3 linked regions of the Oreochromis niloticus genome follow. The protein of the gene in region 2 purifies or fractionates together with the protein of the main gene of each other region. This does not show direct contact. Links are inferred from orthologs where the notes say so. Each region holds a gene or a part of one and is shown on either strand. Other genes may lie near its edges. The genes, in order: atxn7l2a, atxn7l3a and taf10.

Region 1 (3,752 bases), on a different chromosome or scaffold from region 2:
GAGTGCGTTTGTGTTTATTGAAATGATGTGACATCAGAGCTCGTGAACACATCCCCATCTCCTCTTTTCCAGCTTGTGTTTGTCAGTGACTGAAGGCATTATGAGTGGAAGCCAAACGAGAAAGTCTTAGATAAAAACGGCATGAACGTATTAGCAGAATTATAAGTCAGTAAAGACCTTTTAGCGGCTGATAGCCATCCACTTCTTCCCCTGCTGCTTGTCACAAATAAACTCCCCAGAGTTCAAAATGCTGTTTTTCTTCTTTCTGGGTCAAACAGTATGTATGTATGTGCAAGTCAATATCCCACCCCAGGAGCAAGTACAGGTATACAGGATGATCACATGACAGTCCTCAGCCAGGCTCATCTAAATTCACCCGACTGGTGACCAGAATGCATCCGCTGCCCTGACCAGCGGCCGGCCAGTCAGCCTCATGGTGGTCTTAATAACAAGCTGGCTGTTTTCATGCATCCGCAGCACAAACACATATTCACACGCAGCCACACGCCAACATGTCGGTATGTGGAAGCTAATAACTGTCAGTAAAAGTTTGCCAAACAAACGTTTTCAAGTTCACCAGACTGGACGTGGGCATTTTATAGAAGCTAACGCTATCGGGGCGCAGCCCTCGATCAAAGCAATTAGACAATGATGGAGGAGTGTCGATGAAAGGCTCAGCCTGTCGTCGGTAAAATCGTCCAGTCGCCCAACCTCAGTGTGCACTTTGTTACAAACAAAAACATATCCAACAAAAACCTTCATGAGAAATTCATTGACATAAAAATGGGATTGTAAATGATGGCATAAACTGGTGAGGTTCCTCCGATGTGCACCATGAGCAGGAGCTTGGTGCTAGCTGGAACCACGCTCACAGCCCGGTCAGGCTGGCCTCGATGGAAACACTGCAAAGCTTCATTTAGAACGATGAAGCTGGCGTGCATGTGGCAAACACTCACGCTCCAAAACACCGTCGTCACAGACTCGTGTTACAATGCACAGCATTACAAAGCATATGGCTTGTGTAGTGTTGTAAGCTGTTAATATAACTACAAAAGAGAAATAGAAATTTAAGCCAGTAAAAGTTGTTACATCACGATAAGCGATCTCAAACTCAGTGTGAGCTCCATGAAGACTCTTCATTGCTAAACTTTTGGCTTGACAAAACATTCTGAGTCTGGCCAAAGTAGTTGGAAAATAATAACCTTACATGAATCAATAACCTACTTTTTTTTTTTTTTAACCAAACCTCCATAGCAGATTCAAACTAAGAACAGTGGGGACTTCAGATCACCCTTGTTTGGCTCTTATGGCCTTGTGAGTGGAGTGCTGCAAACTTCCTGAGTTATGGTGTCATGTTCTCATACACACAGAATAGCATTCAGCATGTGTATTTGCAAAGGTCTCCACGAAGCAGACGTGTGTTTGTCAGAAAAGCTGAATCTATAAGTATGAGGCATGTGTTCTCATGTTTCTAACCTGCACAGCCGGCTGCTTATTGTCAGCGGTGGTGCACACTTACCCTCTTTACTGAGTGACATTGCCTCTGCAGCCTTTTTGCCATTCTTATTGCAGTCATCCACGTCAGGCCCTGAAACACATGTTCAAGACAGCCACTGTCAGCTGTGATGTTGGCCACAGTATCATCATTAGCAATACAAAGACTCATCTTACATCACACATAGCCCATATTAATAAGCTGTGTTATGTAAGTGACTCATTTACAGATCAACCGTTTCTCCAGGAATTACTCGGAGTCCAAGTATACCATCAGCAGGGAGCAGCTAATGGCACTGGGTGGTGGGGGAGACTATCTGACAGAGCAGCACTGGAGAAACGCCAAACAGTGAGTGAGCGCACAGAGGTAAAGCTAGCAAGAACACTGTGGGCAGAAGCCACATATATGAGGAATCGTAAGGCGAGTCCATCATTGTTTAGAAAACGAAGGAAGCGAAGTGGAAACGACACACAAAATGTTTCCTTCTATCACAGGCTGGGCCAGCGGTGCAAAAGCGTCAGACTCCTCCTCCGTCACCGGCGTCTGCTCTGAATCCGGCTGCTGCTAGCGTTAGCATGCTAATGCTAACTACCTCGTCGCCACCGGCTAGTCGGGCTCGCATGGTAGCTTGTATCCTCGCTTTCCACGGCCAGCCATCCACACTAGCCTCCTTCCGCTCTGATGTCAGCCAGCCCTGCCGGGTTTCTCCACACGAATGGTCTCCCCTAAACGCTGCAGATTGTTTTATGACCACACAGGTGAAAATCACGCTACAATGACCGTGTCTTAACTATTATAATTTTTGTAACCTGGTGAAGACCAACATGTTACCCACCCAGCACTAGGACCCGGCAGGGTCTTTGTTTGGGTAACATGTTTAGCTCTGTCCTGCGTTTCCGCGAAAATAAACACCGCTGCTTCCGTTAAATGGCTCCGTACCGATCAGTGTTTGTGCCAGGGTGTTTCCTTACCATCCGCCGGCGTCATGCCGGCCCAATCGGCCCAGGCAGTCCAGCTTTGACCCACGAAATCATCGAGGCTAGGAACCCGCCGATCCAGAGCAGCCATTACTTTTACTGCGCGTTCACGAACCGCCATCATCACTGCGCGGCAAGCAACTTACGTCATTTCGCGTTCTCGACAGGAAAGGAACTTCCTGCGTGCGCGTGCTGGGGACACCCACACAAACAGAGGCAGAAGGCTTGGCTCTAGTCTCTCCCAGTTTTATACGGTGGAAATGACAGAATGTTATAAACACAGCACGCGCGTGTACATGGTTGAATGCGCATTGAAAACACGTAAAAAACATCACAGTTTTCACACGATCCGCTGCCACCTGCGGCGTGGTGAGGCACATAATCAATTGGTGGTCCACGACCCAGTTAAGGGACAGAGGCCATCTTTATGGTGCGGCCCACCCACTTTACCCCTCTGCATATCAGCCTCGCAGTAGTACTCCTCTATAATGTACCAAACAGCCTGGTTAAAGAGTCCTACAGTTCCATACCTGCACAGGTATGTTATCTGGAACAGCTGCTTTTCCACTCTTCATTCTGTTCACAGCTGCTGTTACTTTCATTGACAAATCATTTCGCCGTAGTTTTCATTAACCACCCTTTTCCTGACGAAGAATTGATCAAGTATTGGCACTTTAGTCTGTGATTAAAAACGGGATGAAAATGTTGTAGAGATGATCTTGTTGTGCAGAGACGCTCCCGTGCACATATGGACACATGTCACATTTGAAACCATGTGAGGCGAGTCACCAGTAAACACCACAGCCTGAATCAACTTTACACTGAGACATTTAGTCAACTCAAACTAAAAGAATTAGCTTTCAGAACTAGCACAGCGTAGCTGCCCTCACTTCCTCGTTACTAATCCTCTGAGCTTCCTCCACCTGCTTGTTGGGGGATGCACACTGACATTCAACATCACTCCTTTGATTTCCAGCTCCACAGTCATGATCCTGTCTGACACTTACCTTCACCAGACTATTTTAGATACTCTTCCTTCAAGATTTCTCCTACTCCATTTCACTTCCCATCCACACCATGATAGAACAGTTTGAACTTTGCTTGCTCTCTTCTGTCTCTTACCACATCAGCCAGCTCTCTCCCTGTAACAGTCCCTCACTGCCACACGCCTGCCTTTCCTTCTCTCTTGTTGCCTCTTCTTTTGTCTTCATCTAAGAGTAGCACATTTCTACTTGCACCCTGCTGAACAGCACCTGAGGTGATCATTGTTAACCAATCTA
Region 2 (3,752 bases):
CCTTTTGATTGTATTGAATTTTTCCATATTGGCAAAAAAATGGCAAAAATATTGGATGTTGAGTGAAGTATTGTGATAATATCATATCATGGGGTGTCTGATGATTCCCAAATGTAGTTCTGCTACATATGACTAAACTGAAGTATTACTCAAACCTTGATGTAATGTTGTAAAGCAGAATCCCCAACAGGACCTCATCATGTCAGATGTTGCTCTGGTGGTGTACATCAAGTTCTACCGAAATGGAAAAATGGCCTCCAGTGAATCCCTGACTTTAACCAAATCCAACACATAAAAGATAAACTGGAGGGCCAACTCTTCACCCAGCATAGCTGGGATGGAGAAAATCCAAAATCTTGTGGGTTTTAAAAGTAGCTGGAGCTAGTCGTCCAGTAATCCTATGCTGGTGTAATGTTAAGGTGTCCACATACTTTCGGTCATTTAGCATAGTTGAAGTGATGACCTCATTCAGCCCGCCCAGGCTCTACAAACAGATTGTAGATAAAGAGCGAAAATCTAGCGTTCATTTATGGATGTCTGAACTGAAAGAAACCTCGCTGTGAAAGCGGAAACATCCGAACTGTACCTTCAAAGTAAAAGTATAAACGTATTTATAAACTTAAATACCTCACAGTTCAAATTGGGCTGTTTGTGCCCTGTGATGTTAAATGAGTTCGACAGCTTATAAAATAAATATGAAAATTCATTCTGGCAAGTAGCTAACTGTTAAAGATATGTGGCTAAATAAAAATGTTAACAATTGTTTTTAAAATGTTGTTCTTCTTTCAGTTAGAGAGTAAAAGATTAGATTAAAAAAAAATTAAGATACATTTTCTTCATCTTGCTTGTTAATATAAAAATGCACATTAATATAGCAAAAAGTGACGGAAAAATTAAATGAGTAATGATGTGTATTGGTATTTTTGAATGTAGCAACATTACTTTTAATTTTATTTATTTTACAAGCATTTGAATGATTAAATTAGCTTCTTCTCCATCCTTTTTCCGATTTCAATATGGACTGTATTCTCTTTTTTCTTTTTTCCTTTTTGTCGAGTTCCAGCAACTCGCTTCACATTTGCAGGTTAAGCTTTTATTTTTATTGCTACAACCGGAAGTTGGCTGGTTTATATGCTTTGTCGGCCTCCTCGCTCGTACCGTCAGTTTTGCTAACCGACACCTGCGACAGCAAACACTTTTATCGAGCTTTTTGTTTTACCCGTGTTATTAGAATGGCTGTAGCTGAAGACCGGGCCTCCTGCTAATGCGTTTTATGTGGAGTGACTCGGTCATGTTGCCTCCTTCAGAGAAACTGCCCGGTTCAGGCTGAGTTTTCGGCATGACAGGGTAAGAGGAAACAGTTTGAAATTAAAACACACCTAACGTCGCTACACTGTTTCTTAGTATTTGAATGCCACAAAGGCCTTTCCTTCAGCTCAGATTAGTAGAGCAGTGGGGCCAGCAGATATAAACCATGAAAGGTGATATTAGCCGGAGTTAATTTGCTAAGGAACTGTCACTACCTGCGTTTAGGTTCTACTAACGTTAGCTAGTCGTTCGTGAGGTAGTTTAAATGAACATTTTTTGTAAAATGTAGCTATTTTTGAGCTTTCGTGTTGGATACATAGGTATCTTGTTTATCTCAATCAACCACATGTAATGTTAAAGCTGGTTAGAGTGCATGGTTAAAACCACATTCCTTTGTGTGTGTGATGTCCAGTAATTTGAAAATCAGGATGTTGTTGTAGCTGATATGTGCTGATATGTTCAGTTCAGGCTTGGTGTTACAGTGGTCAGATTGTACCACTAATTATCATATGTTTACATGAACCTTCTGTGGTGATCTTGCACATGACGAGCGATTATTTCTTCTTTTCAACAGGATGAAGATAGACCTGGAACAAGTTCTAATACATATTTTTAAAGTATGTTATTTGCGACTGGTATCTTGAATCTGTGTGCCTTACATCTGTTGCCTTTCAAGCATGCTGTGATTTCACTTCCATCCTATCTCTTTAAGTCCTCAGATATCAATCTTATTACCTTGCTGTCAAGACTTCCAATAGAGATTTTCAAATGAAAATGGAGGATATGCCCCTCTCAGGCCCAGACAACACCAGGCTGGAGGTGAGGTATTACCTGTGCATACAGGTAACCCATGCATTTACATAACATTGGGTTTGTTTTTGGTGTTACACTATGTTTTTGTTGTTGTAGGCCCTGGCCCATGACATCTACTCTGAGCTGGTGGAAGATGCCTGTTTGGGCCTGTGTTTTGAGGTGCATCGTGCGGTGAAACAGGGCTATTTCTTCTTGGATGAAACGGACCAAGAGAGCATGAAGGAGTTTGGTTGGTGCTGTTGCATCTGGTTTCTATTCTGTCTGTCTTCAATGTGTTTGCTTACTGTTTTTTTTGTTTGTTTGTTTGTTTTTTCCTTCCAGAAATTGTGGATCAACCAGGAGTGGACATATTTGGGCAGGTGTACAATCAGTGGAAGAACAAAGAGTGTGAGTGTCCCAACTGTAAAAGATTAATAGCAGCTTCTCGCTTTGCTCCGCATTTGGAGAAATGCCTCGGCATGGGACGCAACAGCAGCCGCATCGCCAACCGCAGGTCGGTCAGTGAAGGTCGTAAAGCAAAAATTCCTGCAGTGATCCGAAGTTATACATGAAATTCTAATTCAATTGTTTGATCTTCTTTAAACAGGCTAGCCAGCAGTAATAATATGAGCAAATCAGAAAGTGATCAAGAAGACAATGATGACCTTAATGATAATGACTGGTCGTACGGGGCTGAAAAAAAAAGTGAGCACTTGAGTGATTGCATTGTACTGAGAGATGAAAGAAATCTCCAGGTGGTTACTTAAAATAAACATTTCTTATTTCCTTTTTACAGCCAAGAAGAGAAAGTCAGATAAGGTTTTTTTTTTTAAATTGCACATTGTTAGTATAAATGAATTTTTCATGCGTATTATAAGGTTATTTTAATCTTAACATTTTTGTTTGTGCAGAGTCAAAATTCCCCAAGAAGATCCAAATCCCTGAAACATAAAAACGGTGAGTCTATCGGGTTGTTGTTGTTTTTTTTGTTGTTTTTAAGTGTAGTGAAGAGGTTTTGATGAATGTGGGTTACCGATTCAAAACATTTCTTAGGCTTGAACTTGAGCAGTCTCAGAGCTCAGCTACTGTTGCAGATCACGCTGTGAAGACACAGCGTGTATACATCTGCTAATCTCACTTTTTAAGCTAGTTTCCAAGTTCATAGCTCAAAGTGGAGGGAACAATTCAAAGTGAAATGCGAATATTTTTCTTTTTGATGCAGATGGATTTTATAGTTTAACTTTGATGTGCTTTTAGCAGTCTCAATGTATTACATGAACAGTGTGTTTGTGCGTATGCATTCCAGGTGAGATTGGAAGTGGCGTCGGTGCTGAATCTTACAAGGTGACAAATCCTCCTGTGATCAAATTGATTGCTAGCCTATAAAGTATAGTAAATTCTTTACTCATAAAGGTTTATGTTTTGTCTTTAAATTCAGTACAACTATAATACTGGCATCAGTTATGAAACGTTGGGCCCCGATGAAGTCAGATCCCTTCTAACGACGGTGAGCAATTTTCATGAATCTGCCCAAGCATGTAATTTTTTATTGTTCCAACTACTGATTTAATTATATAAGTGTGAATCATTAAGGTATTGTGTGTTTCTACAGCAATGTGGGGTGATATCTGAGCACACAAAGAAGATGTGTA
Region 3 (3,752 bases), on a different chromosome or scaffold from region 2:
CAGCCCACCTGTATCCTTATTTTGAAAAACACCACACACATAAACCTCAGATTTTCTATGATCTTGTTCAGAGTGATCACAAAGCTGACATTAACGAGTCTTACAAGGTTAGAGATGTTGCATTTTGGTTAAAAGGTTAAAGCCAGTTTGTTTTAAGCAAATCTAAATCAGCCAACACTCCCTGTAACATCAGAAAGCACGGTGCAACCTAACTAATACAGCATTAAGATAAGAAATGCTGTATACCATTGGGAAATTCTTTAAATTATGACAATATAGTCATTTATTTGTGACTTCAACATGTTCCCATTGCCAGATTACATTAATTTCTGACTCATTCAGTGCCTTGAACTAAGGTTTTTATTGGTGAACTCATATTATATAAAGGCTTTTAAGTCAGCTGTTAAGTAAATTGGTGGCTATCAATCAAACCTCTGAACGTACCAACTATGAGCAGCCTTATGATTTGTGCTGTAATGTACTCCTCCATGTGTGCACACTGACAGATACAAAGCTGTTCCTAGTATACAATTTCTCAGTCTACCTAAAGGACACATGCACAGGTGGAGGTTTTTTACTGACATTACATTAGACATTACATTACACTGACATTAGAGCAGAATCGAGTGCATCTCACCCTCACATTTGCCTCTGATGACATTTTTTTTATCACTTAGATCCATGCATCCCTGCAGATGCCAAAAGATCTGAATACTACACTGCATGTACTCACATCCTTGGATCAGAAGCCTCAAAACCAGCCCGGTTGAGGTAGTAACCTGTGACTGCATCAGGAATCTGGTGGGAAAAAAACAAAAACAAAGAATAACTACTAATGTATATGTCACTAATATTATTAGTGCACATGTACCAATCAAGGACTGATTAAGAAACATTTCTGTCAAAAATGTGTGAAAGTATGATGTAGCGGGGCTAACTGACTTACCGTGGGAGTGTACTCTTCCAGCTGCATGAGGAAATCAGCCAGTGGCGTGGTGGAAACAGCAGGCTTCACATCTCCATTAGTGATGCCACCAGGAACATAGACTCCATTGGAAACAGATGTGTCTGCAGACGGTGTCACCACAGCTGATGAGGATGAAGCTATAAAAGACACATCAAGCAATGTCTGAGATAAACTTCTGAGATGCGAGGGAGATCAGACGAATTCTATGCATGGAAAAAAGAAAATAATTAATGCCATCTGTCTTGTCAGTCCAAAATGTGAACATTGGTATCATCAAAAGAGTGTAGCTGTGCATCCGCACCTAAAGGATAAGTTGTGGCTTTTGCTGCTTGGTTATTTGGCCAGTGGTGTTGAGGATTTTGGTAAAGTTGATGAAATTATAAACACACTTGAATAGGGTTAGATTTTGATATCCACCACAAAATACCATCTGGAAACAGTTTCATTTTTCAGCATGACAATGATGCCAAACACACTGCTAATGCATTTAAAAAAAAAAAAAAAAAAAAAAAACCTGGAAAGAAAAAATATACAATTAAGCACTATCAGTCATGGATCAGGATCCCAAAGACCAGACTTCAACTTTACTGAAACAGTCTTGGACCATCTTCACAGACAACAGAGCAAAAGGCAGCCAACATCCAAAGAAGCTTTAGATGTAATTCAAGAAGCCTGGAGAACTATTGCTAAAGAGTACTTAGAGAAGTAGTCTCCAATTTTTACATGAAAATTAAATCCATTTTAAGGATGGGGCCTAAGGGAACATCTTCCACCATCACTAATTCCCCAACTCTCTCTAAACAGTACTCATGGCCATTAATCAATGATCATGACAATTTGTATATTAGTAATCAGGAAACTGACCTAACAGTTAATCAGTTGCGGGACCCCACAGTCAGCTGAAACTGAAGAGGTCACTTGCATGAGTGACACAACATACCTCAACAGTCAGATAAATAGAATCAACTTTCTGTGACTACTTAAAGAACCTACAAGAAAGCTTGCCTGAGAGGATTCAAGGCCTTTTAAATAATAAAGGTGGTCATATCAAATATTCACTTTATTTTCAAGCTTGTTAGAATTGCACAAACTCTGTTTTTGCCTTATATACCAACATTTTTCAATGCACTGCACCCATTTCCAATTTTCCCTTGCAAAATATAAAGAAATCAGGGATGGCTTGAGACTTTTGCAAAGTACTGTACAAACAATCTAAAAAATTGCTACAATGGTTAAGTTAGTGCTACAGGCTTAACCTGAAACGTGGTACTTGGTAGGTTTTGTAATTAATATGTTTAAATCACTTTAAAGTGTTAGACGGCAATCTAACACTTTAAAGTGTTAGATTGCCGTCTAAAACCTACCTTAATGCATTACACTTTGATGCATTAAGGTAGGTTTCGCTGATGGTGTTTAGGTTAGTACGCGTTTCTCTCAGTCAGGCTTGGTATTGTTGTCAATAGTCAATGTACATCGTGGAAAGTTTCGACTTCCAGTGCGAGATGAAATCAGCAAATGCTCTCAGAATAATAACAAAGACAATAACAAAGTCACGTTACGTTACCATTACTCGTGACCGACGGGATGCTGCTCACGTTGGTTGTCGTATTATCGTTGGCAATGCAATTACTTGCCGTTGACGATGTGGTAGAAGGCACTCCTGTTGTTACAGACTGATTTACGTTGTCCATATTCATGCTGGCGTTAGCTAACGAGCTAACCGTGGTTAACTAGCACCGAAATATGCAAAACACCACAAATCCGCGATTTATAGCTGTAAGACAAGTATTCTACAAAATACTGTTTTAGTATAAGTCTACCCTTTCATTCAAAGAAATTAATTATCAAAACTGAAAAACTATAACTCGTAGCAGAAGTGTTTCTAAGACCTTTGCAGTAAAACGCTGAGCCACTACTGTTAGATCACGTCATGTGACATAGAGGCGTTCTCTTCTTCTATGTTGACTGCACACCGCCGCCTACGCCCCCTGCCGTAGCGGAGACTGTAGGCAATACATTAATACACTTTCTTTATATTTAAAGAATTTAATTCAGATTTGAATTTCACTAACTCACTGACCTGCATTGGACTCTTTTCAGAAGTTTTTACAGCCTTGCCAAGAGTAAATAGACGTCAACACATAATGACAGCAGCGATAAACAGCAAAATGACAACCTAAAGTCAATAAAGATGAACAGCAGCCATAGATGTTTTGTTGTTTGTTTGCAAAGTGCGATCTATTGAGATCTAGCGGTTAGATTGTACACACCATAGCTTTATAAACAGAGATTCACCGCTTCTCTTGTGAGAAGTGGCAGTTTACGAGGTGCACTGAATGCAGCAGAGCGATCTCGTGCACACTGCAGGGGGCGTTAAGGGATTGTCGGACATTTTCTCGGTTGATATTCTGGTTCGAAGAAGTGAGTCAGTCTTTCACTAGAGTGGACTGTCTGCTGGGCTCTGGACAAATTGTAGTCCTGTATTCATCTGACCAAAGCGGGAGACGGACGTTTGTGACAGTTGTATGGGACAAAACAGGTACTGTCAGGCTTTATAAACGTACAAGTACAATTCACCACAAACGCCGATTAACGACTTTCACAAGCTTCCTCTTATTCCCTGTTCAGTAATCACTCAGGGCTTGAATTGTTAGTTTAGTCCACTTTTAAATGATTGACAATTTTGTGCCTATCTCTGTGAGTTTAACGTGTTTACATATCGACGTATTAAGGGAAGTATAATGCATCTGTGGAGGACTGCTCAGGACTGCTCAACCTGTAATCT

Evidence for each region.
Region 1: the proteins of atxn7l3a (region 2) and atxn7l2a purify together in Homo sapiens (affinity purification with mass spectrometry; 5 studies listed by BioGRID and IntAct, counting the BioPlex papers as one, with this or other methods). This does not show direct contact. The link is inferred for Oreochromis niloticus from reciprocal best matches to the Homo sapiens genes ATXN7L3 and ATXN7L2.
Region 3: the proteins of atxn7l3a (region 2) and taf10 purify together in Homo sapiens (affinity purification with mass spectrometry; 7 studies listed by BioGRID and IntAct, with this or other methods). This does not show direct contact. The link is inferred for Oreochromis niloticus from reciprocal best matches to the Homo sapiens genes ATXN7L3 and TAF10.

The regions. Positions count from the first base shown.
Region 1 is NC_031970.2:39,528,955-39,532,706, forward strand, and holds the start of atxn7l2a (ataxin-7-like protein 2a), read right to left. Parts: upstream 2,686-3,752; 5' UTR 2,597-2,685; coding exon 2,467-2,596; intron 2,309-2,466; exon of another isoform or gene 2,088-2,308; intron 1,589-2,087; coding exon 1,520-1,588; intron 1-1,519.
Region 2 is NC_031969.2:28,393,505-28,397,256, reverse strand, and holds the start of atxn7l3a (ataxin-7-like protein 3), read left to right. Parts: upstream 1-1,114; 5' UTR 1,115-1,339; coding exon 1,340-1,347; intron 1,348-1,882; exon of another isoform or gene 1,883-1,925; intron 1,926-2,020; exon of another isoform or gene 2,021-2,027; coding exon 2,028-2,127; intron 2,128-2,217; coding exon 2,218-2,350; intron 2,351-2,442; coding exon 2,443-2,614; intron 2,615-2,707; coding exon 2,708-2,805; intron 2,806-2,896; coding exon 2,897-2,919; intron 2,920-3,011; coding exon 3,012-3,057; intron 3,058-3,406; coding exon 3,407-3,444; intron 3,445-3,538; coding exon 3,539-3,607; intron 3,608-3,712; coding exon 3,713-3,752. UniProt on the Homo sapiens protein: Component of the transcription regulatory histone acetylation (HAT) complex SAGA, a multiprotein complex that activates transcription by remodeling chromatin and mediating histone acetylation and deubiquitination.
Region 3 is NC_031984.2:24,229,865-24,233,616, forward strand, and holds the start of taf10 (transcription initiation factor TFIID subunit 10), read right to left. Parts: upstream 2,920-3,752; 5' UTR 2,665-2,919; coding exon 2,532-2,664; intron 1,105-2,531; coding exon 947-1,104; intron 799-946; coding exon 734-798; intron 1-733. Other genes in the region: uncharacterized protein zgc:154075, read left to right, coding at 3,493-3,506. UniProt on the Homo sapiens protein: The TFIID basal transcription factor complex plays a major role in the initiation of RNA polymerase II (Pol II)-dependent transcription.